2 linked regions of the Arabidopsis thaliana genome follow. The protein of the gene in region 1 interacts with the protein of each later gene in a pairwise test. Each region holds a gene or a part of one and is shown on either strand. Other genes may lie near its edges.

What was found.
Region 2: the proteins of NAP (region 1) and IAA14 interact in a two-hybrid assay, tested with the Arabidopsis thaliana proteins (one study listed by BioGRID).

The regions. Positions count from the first base shown.
Region 1 is NC_003070.9:26,120,080-26,124,069, forward strand, and holds NAP (NAC-like, activated by AP3/PI), read left to right. Parts: upstream 1-2,000; 5' UTR 2,001-2,153; coding exon 2,154-2,319; intron 2,320-2,416; coding exon 2,417-2,697; intron 2,698-2,783; coding exon 2,784-3,143; 3' UTR 3,144-3,435; downstream 3,436-3,990. Other genes in the region: CYP704B1 (cytochrome P450, family 704, subfamily B, polypeptide 1), read left to right, coding at 3,881-3,990. UniProt on the Arabidopsis thaliana protein: Transcription activator that binds to, and transactivates the promoter of the abscisic aldehyde oxidase AAO3.
Region 2 is NC_003075.7:8,348,073-8,352,361, reverse strand, and holds IAA14 (indole-3-acetic acid inducible 14), read left to right. Parts: upstream 1-2,098; 5' UTR 2,099-2,438; coding exon 2,439-2,659; intron 2,660-2,850; coding exon 2,851-3,080; coding exon of another isoform or gene 3,081-3,181; intron 3,182-3,217; coding exon 3,218-3,353; coding exon of another isoform or gene 3,354-3,357; intron 3,358-3,665; coding exon 3,666-3,783; downstream 3,784-4,289. UniProt on the Arabidopsis thaliana protein: Aux/IAA proteins are short-lived transcriptional factors that function as repressors of early auxin response genes at low auxin concentrations.

The sequences.
Region 1 (3,990 bases):
TTGGTAGAAACGAATTTAGTAAAGCATGTGTTTGGAATTGGAGTCGATCAAATATAAACAAATCGTTTCTCCCTAAACAAAGATGCTAGATTGCTAGAGATTAAGATGACGATTTGATTAATCATCGTCACTCATATTTAATTGGTTTCCTTAACTAAATTTATCTAAACAAAGATGCTAGAGCTTTTGTTTGCGTCATCTCATCCTAATCCTCATATCTTTTAATCCTATCCTTTTTGTCCCATGCCCTATATAGTAAGTATATAAAATTGGCTTGGTGATGTATATGAACATATGATGAATCATGTGCCATTTGAAATATAGTATAATACATGTACACTTGTGTAAAATAGCTTTTGGGGTCTTTTAATTTGTTAGAATAGCATTTTTAGATTGTCCATTAACAAGGTAGTTTCTTGAAAAATTTTAAAAGATATTCATGCGCCACTTAATTATAACGGTTTAATGAACAATTATTTGTGGCAATAGCGAAACAAAATCATGAAATTAACAAGAATAAACAGCTAATCATGAACTTGTTTTTTCTCCTCTTTCCCACTTTGTGCTGGAACGTTCCTTCGCATCTTGTAGTAATCTCACAAAACCCATTTTCAAGAAACTTGTGTCCAGTCTGAATTGAGCGTGTGGAGTTTTTTGGACAAATGTAGTAAACAAAGATTTAATCACCCAATTAGGGAATAATAATGACACCATTAGATAAGAACATGCGTAATTAGTGACATCTAATTATTGTTTAATCAGAAATCCGCCGTGGCGCGTGGGTGTATGCCCTCCACAATCCTTATCCCTAATGACTTTTTATGTGAAAATGACACGTCATTCAGAAGCAAAAAAATTGGACCCCCCAAGCCTTGTAGCATGCCACGTTTCTTCCAAAATTAAGACCAAGAATGGTCTTCACACTAGTTTTTATGTTATACAAGTTCTTTAGTACTTCTCCTTTGGATTCTTTTTAATTACTAGTTTGTTTTATGAAAAACGTATGTTATTGATTATTGAGATATCAGTATTATTATATATGCAGTATAAAGTTATTGATGTGTATATTTTGTCATGCAAACTATATCGTGGAGAAAATAATGTTGCTTATGACTTTTGATAGTTGGGCTTACATTTGGATAATGGATAGGGTAGACAAAGATAGGAGGAAAGCAATAATAGCGAAATGAAGAACGAATATTTGGGGAAATAGGACAAATGAATATACTTCTCTTTGAAATGGAGATTCACCTAAATTATTAATACTAAAGCCATGCAATGCATCCAAACAAATCAGTGGTCAAGCACACTCAATTATATGTCCACGAAGACCTTTAGAATCTTCACAACCAAAAGCTATTTTCTACGCTACCTGATAATTCTGACTCAATTCTTCTTCATAAAACGTATAATGAAGCTTTATGAATGATTAATTATAGACACAACCGGCCCTATCTGCGATTTCTACAAACAATAGAACACAAAACTTTAAAAGTTACTACAAAATACCGAATTGACTATATATATCATATTATCAGTATAAACATGATTAGATTGATCATGTTTATCAGTAATCATGAAAGACAAAGAGTGTGACTATTGTAAACCAAATTTTAGAATAAAATAAATAATTTATCATACTATATACAGTATTTTGTTAAGTATATGTCATCCAATAGTAACATTATCATTTAAACTGAAAAATGTTTCAGCTACTTTAAGGAATTATAGCTTTATTAAAAGTATATACTTTTAGGTCACGTGTTTAGAGGTGAAGAACAATAATAATTACTCAATAAGTTCACCAGTCACACTCCAACATCTTATTCAAATTCCTTTTAAAAGCTTTTTAACCGTGGCTGTTTGATGACCATTTGACAAAATTTAGTATATTAGAAAAAAACAATAGGATAGGGATAATATAGGACATTAGACTATTAGATGGACAAAATGAAGTATTATTTAATTTTCCAATGTACCAACCAATAAGAAAGAAGTGACGCACAGTAAACGACAAAAAGCTCAAGCATAAAAACCCAAACCTTCTCTGCTTTCTAAACATTTCAAGAACCTTGAGAACATCAAAAACTAACACAGAAAGAAAAAAAACAGTTCCTGTTCTATTAGATTGTTTTCTAAATTGTCTGAAAATCATGGAAGTAACTTCCCAATCTACCCTCCCTCCAGGGTTCAGATTTCATCCTACCGACGAAGAACTCATCGTTTACTATCTTCGAAACCAGACCATGTCTAAACCATGCCCTGTCTCCATCATCCCAGAAGTTGATATCTACAAATTCGACCCATGGCAATTACCCGGTTAGACCCGGTTTATCTCTCAATGATAACCTATTCTTCTAGATGTTCATGTTTAGAGCTACTTTCCTTATTTGCTTTGTTCGTTTTGTATTTACAGAGAAAACAGAGTTTGGAGAAAATGAGTGGTATTTCTTCAGCCCTAGAGAAAGAAAATATCCAAACGGAGTCAGACCAAACCGGGCAGCTGTTTCCGGTTATTGGAAAGCAACCGGTACAGACAAAGCCATTCACAGCGGTTCAAGTAACGTAGGTGTCAAGAAAGCTCTAGTCTTCTACAAAGGTAGACCTCCTAAAGGAATCAAAACTGACTGGATCATGCATGAGTATCGTCTCCATGATTCACGTAAAGCATCAACGAAACGTAACGGTTCCATGAGGGTACGTAAGCAGAGGAAACAAGTTTATAGCTCTTGTATATTTTATTACAACTTGTGAAAATGTTAATTTTCTTTATATTTTTGCAGTTAGATGAATGGGTACTGTGTAGGATATACAAGAAGAGAGGAGCAAGTAAGCTTCTGAATGAGCAAGAGGGTTTCATGGACGAAGTACTAATGGAGGATGAGACAAAAGTTGTAGTTAACGAAGCAGAGAGAAGAACTGAAGAAGAGATAATGATGATGACGTCGATGAAACTTCCAAGGACGTGTTCGCTGGCTCATTTGTTGGAAATGGATTACATGGGACCCGTCTCTCACATTGATAATTTTAGTCAGTTCGATCATCTTCATCAACCTGATTCGGAGTCTAGTTGGTTCGGGGACCTTCAGTTTAACCAAGACGAGATCTTAAACCATCATCGTCAAGCGATGTTTAAGTTTTAGTGATGGGGTCAGTAAAAAAGAAGAAGAAACAAGAAAAGATGTGCTTGAAAAGTTACTTTGGTAGATATTTGGTTAGTTTGGGTACATGAATGAAAATTGTAAAATATTATAACTAAAACCCAATGGGATTTTATATTTCTCCCATATGAATGTGAAATGAAAAACAATGTTTAATTAAAAATTAAGTTGTTTCAGCATGATAAGACGAAGTCACGAAGTTGATTTACATTACGAACTAATAAAACAAAAGACTTTTGTAACTTACGATGTTTTTAAAATGATAAAAAGAGAGATTGAGATTACGTTAACTTGGAATGAACAAGTCGATGACGTGTGGAGGAATCAACGCCAGATACAATGCATTTTGGGTACTTATCTTTGTCGTTTTATTAGATAACGAATGTTACTTGTCGTCATCATCGTACATTAAACCACATTTTGATTCAGTCTGCGCAGACTCAAACATTAGTGGATGTAACTTATCATAAATATGTGGACCCTTTTTGCTAATTTCAATTTTGACCGGTTTTGGTGTACCAAACACGGTTTAACAAAACCACGAAACCAAACTTGTTTAAGAAAGAATACACACCAAAGAAATGTTGCAAAGAAGGCATAATAAAAAAGAGTGTTAGTTGATTAGTAGATTGGTCACAAACTTTGTCTGATTGCTAAACAATATAAAAACTCTTATGAATTTATTTAGAACTTATTTTTCAGATTCAAAGAGGTAAAAAATGTCGTTGTGTTTGGTTATAGCTTGTATGGTAACATCATGGATCTTCTTACACCGATGGGGACAAAGAAACAAGAGTGGTCCAAAGACTTGGCCTTTGGTTGGAGCAGC
Region 2 (4,289 bases), on another chromosome or scaffold:
ATAGAAACAATGGGTTATTGGGGGAGTGAGGGATGTTGACAAGGCAAAAACATAGCCTTTGAGGGTTTGGTATGTTTATTGCTTCCCCAATTGGATGTGACTTGTCTCACTATCTTCACCGGATTCAATTGAATAGTACTTTGACTAGGGAAGATGTGTTTTCTTGTGGATATAGGTCGGAGATCGAGTTACCCATCAATAAATATCTACTGTTCGTGTTTTTCAGTCATATTCTATGCATTAAATGTTAATAAAATCCGATCTTTCAAGGATTTCAAAAATTAGTATTGTTTGGGTTATTAGATTGTTCTTGCTATCAAGAAAACCAAAAAAAGGAACAAGCAATGTGTCTTTGTTCGACAGTGCACCACCAATCTGAAAATAATTAGACTACTTCTTGGGCAAAACATTTATTTAATTTTTCTATGCTCCTAGAAAGTAGAAACGGCAAATTACGTAGATAAGTAGAAACAAGTTTACCAGAAATCTCCAATGTAGTGCAAGTAGAATTATTCGTTGGGCTCTCGGAACTCGGAAGCTAATGCTAAAATAGTCCATCATGAATGTAGTGCATCTGTTTTACTAATGGTTTGTGCTAATTAATGTTGTTTATATATGATAGGCTTCCGCATAAGTGATGTTGCTTTTTATTTTATTTTTATTACTAAAAAGTTTAGGCCTAGGAACATACGTCCTCTCAAACTAGAGCATTTTATATGGTTTCTTTCCAAATGTCATTACAACTGGTGATTTCTAGGTTTTGTCTTATAGTCTTTAACAATTGAGCTATTAACACTCAGTAAGTAATGTTATTGACATAAAAGAAATGTTTATTTGTAATATGATCAAATTTAACGATATATTATCAACCAAATAGTTTTATAATAATTATTTGAATACTAATAAAAATAAATATAAATGACTGTATATGTCGATAATATTAAATTTACATGATCTTGATTTACTAATACTCAGTTAGATTGTAACTTTTAATATTTTCATCAGATTTGAATATCAACTTTTGCTGGATATTTTAACTTTTTAAGTAAAGTATTCATTATGGTGTTATTAATTAAAAGGATTATGTATCATTGGAATATTTTATTGTATCTAAAATAATAGTCATTTTATTTCCAAAGATTTCCAAAGGATATTATCCCATAACCACAAAACAATGGGTGGTATAGTTTATATAGAGATCGCAAGTAAAATCCATGTGCACTTTTAGCTTATTTAAGTTTTGAACGGCTCATTATATTCTTATTATTTTTGATATCCAATGATTAACTAAAATCAATGATAAGAAATTTGATTATAATACGTCTAAACAAAGAAAATGTAATTGAGCATGCTAATAAATATAGTCACAAAGCCGCACTTTCCGTCGAACAAATTATACGTTCATGTGTGGTTATACTTGAACCACATGATTGGAAGGTTCGGAAGACAAGCTTATTTTAATTTGATTATGCTCTTTAATAATGATTTAATGGACAACTGAACAAGCCCATTTTCCTAAAATTGCCCCATCATTTCCCGGAATTTCAGGACAATGTTGAGAGAAGATGGTCCAAATTGAAGTAAAATATATACTAAGATTGTTATCATTGATTATTTGTTGTACGTCTTAATTAGGATCAAACTTAGTTGGTCATAACTATTTTCACCGATGCTGACTTCGAAAGTTTTAAGAAATATAATTATATGATTAAATCATATAATAATGTTGACCAAATACGATTCACGGAATTTTTACCGCCCAATTTCTGTATACATGTGATGTGATACGTGAAGAGTTGACCAATGGAGGCAACGTCTAACAAATTGGTAGGCAATTAAAAAAGTACATTAATCATAGAAGTGATCAATAAAGACATTACTTAGACATGTTGAAAGAGGTACTCATGTTTTTATAATATCATTTTTATTTACTCGGAATCTTAATATATTTTCATTTTTATTTACTTAACATATTTTGGGCAAACGTATGTTCGTATTTTCAAAACCTAAGAGATGTAACAATATCATTCAACAATCAACGGTCATCACTCATCACCTATACTTTTCAGGTTATTGACATGAAAGAGTGAGATTTACTAAAACAACCTACCAACGTTTAGCAGAAGGCCACGTGTTGAGAACCCACATTGCAAGAAAATGTAGGGATTCCATGCACTACAGCAGATACACAATAGACCTTTGTATTTTAATAGTTAAAGAATTAGAAAAGTCAGACGACTAATCACGGGTTTAAACCGTTTTTTTTCTACCACTATAGTATAGTACTATAGTCTCTTTCTTCGTCCCTTATATTATCGACTCTATCTCCTTACCTCATTCTTGTTCCCCTCTTATCAAACTTCACCCCCAACAAGAGTTATCGAGAGAGAGAGAAAACATATTCTGATTTAAGACATATATAGACAGCAAGAAGAGATATGAACCTTAAGGAGACGGAGCTTTGTCTTGGCCTCCCCGGAGGCACTGAAACCGTTGAAAGTCCGGCCAAGTCGGGTGTTGGGAACAAGAGAGGCTTCTCCGAGACCGTTGATCTCAAACTTAATCTTCAATCTAACAAACAAGGACATGTGGATCTCAACACTAATGGAGCTCCCAAGGAGAAGACCTTCCTTAAAGACCCTTCTAAGCCTCCTGCTAAGTAAGTTCTATTTACACAATTCCTTAAGAAGAAGACCTTCCTTAAAAGGGAAGACTTTTTTTTTTTTTTTTTGAGATAAAAAGACTAATAGTTGATATAAAAGTTCTTAAAATACATATATATGAAAGATGTAAGGATGCATAAGTAATAACGTTATTGAATGTGTGTGTGTGTTGTTATATTCTATGCAGAGCACAAGTGGTGGGTTGGCCACCGGTGAGGAACTACCGGAAAAATGTTATGGCTAATCAGAAGAGCGGCGAAGCAGAGGAGGCAATGAGTAGTGGTGGAGGAACCGTCGCCTTTGTGAAGGTTTCCATGGATGGAGCTCCTTATCTTCGGAAGGTTGACCTCAAGATGTACACCAGCTACAAGGATCTCTCTGATGCCTTGGCCAAAATGTTCAGCTCCTTTACCATGGGTATGCATTTTCAGACATATAAGTCGAATTATCATTATTATTTTTGTGTTTACTTACAATTTTTTCTTTTTAACGATACAGTTTTTTCCATATACGACTAATTAATATGATAAGTTTTGGGATTTTGATTAATTAAGGGAGTTATGGAGCACAAGGGATGATAGATTTCATGAACGAGAGTAAAGTGATGGATCTGTTGAACAGTTCTGAGTATGTTCCAAGCTACGAGGACAAAGATGGTGACTGGATGCTCGTTGGTGATGTCCCCTGGCCGTGAGTTTCCTCATTCTTCTTGCTTTCATTATTATGACCAAAATTATTCTCTAAACAAAAAAAACAATATTCTCTAAAGCATTATTATTGATATTACTTATCAAAAAAATACACAAAATGATAATCAATATCCATGTGTTATAAACACGCACAGCCATCTTTTGGTTGGCATGGGACAGAACTCAGAGACAGAGAAGATGTTTATATATAAATACTAACTCATCAATATGTTACCTCATTTGTAGCTGGCACATATTCTTTCACTTTCAATAGATTTCTAAATTTAGTCACCAACCCAAATCCCGATTTCAGGATGTTTGTCGAGTCATGCAAACGTTTGCGCATAATGAAAGGATCCGAAGCAATTGGACTTGGTAAGTTTTCTTTTCTGTTCGTTTCTATAAGTGGCTCTTTTCTGTTTTTCCAATAATGCTCGTGTTTTTTTTTCAGCTCCAAGAGCAATGGAGAAGTTCAAGAACAGATCATGAACAAAAAAAAAAGAGGACAATATGCATTGATTTTTTTTTTTTGGTATTGTTATGATCATGTGTTTTTAATTTAAAATATTGGAAGTATATAGGAAAATATAATTGTTTACGAAAAAAATAACTTTAAATATGTCTTTTTTTTTTTTTTTGAAATTAGTCTGTGTTTTTGTTTTCATCTCTTAATTAGTAGAAATCATTTTTTAATATGTAATTGTGATAGTAAATCTATAGAGTTCGTATTTTTGCTATTTAAAATTTAAAATGCTAATACTATATATAATTTATGATAGGTAAATTTACGTTAAATAATTTATCTCCACTTTTCCTACTTTATTATTCTTTTCCTCTTTATTTTCTCATTTATTGGCTTTACAGATTATATTTGAAATTTGTAACTATTTTTGATGTATCTAAAAACATTTCACATAACAATTTCTTAAGAAAACTA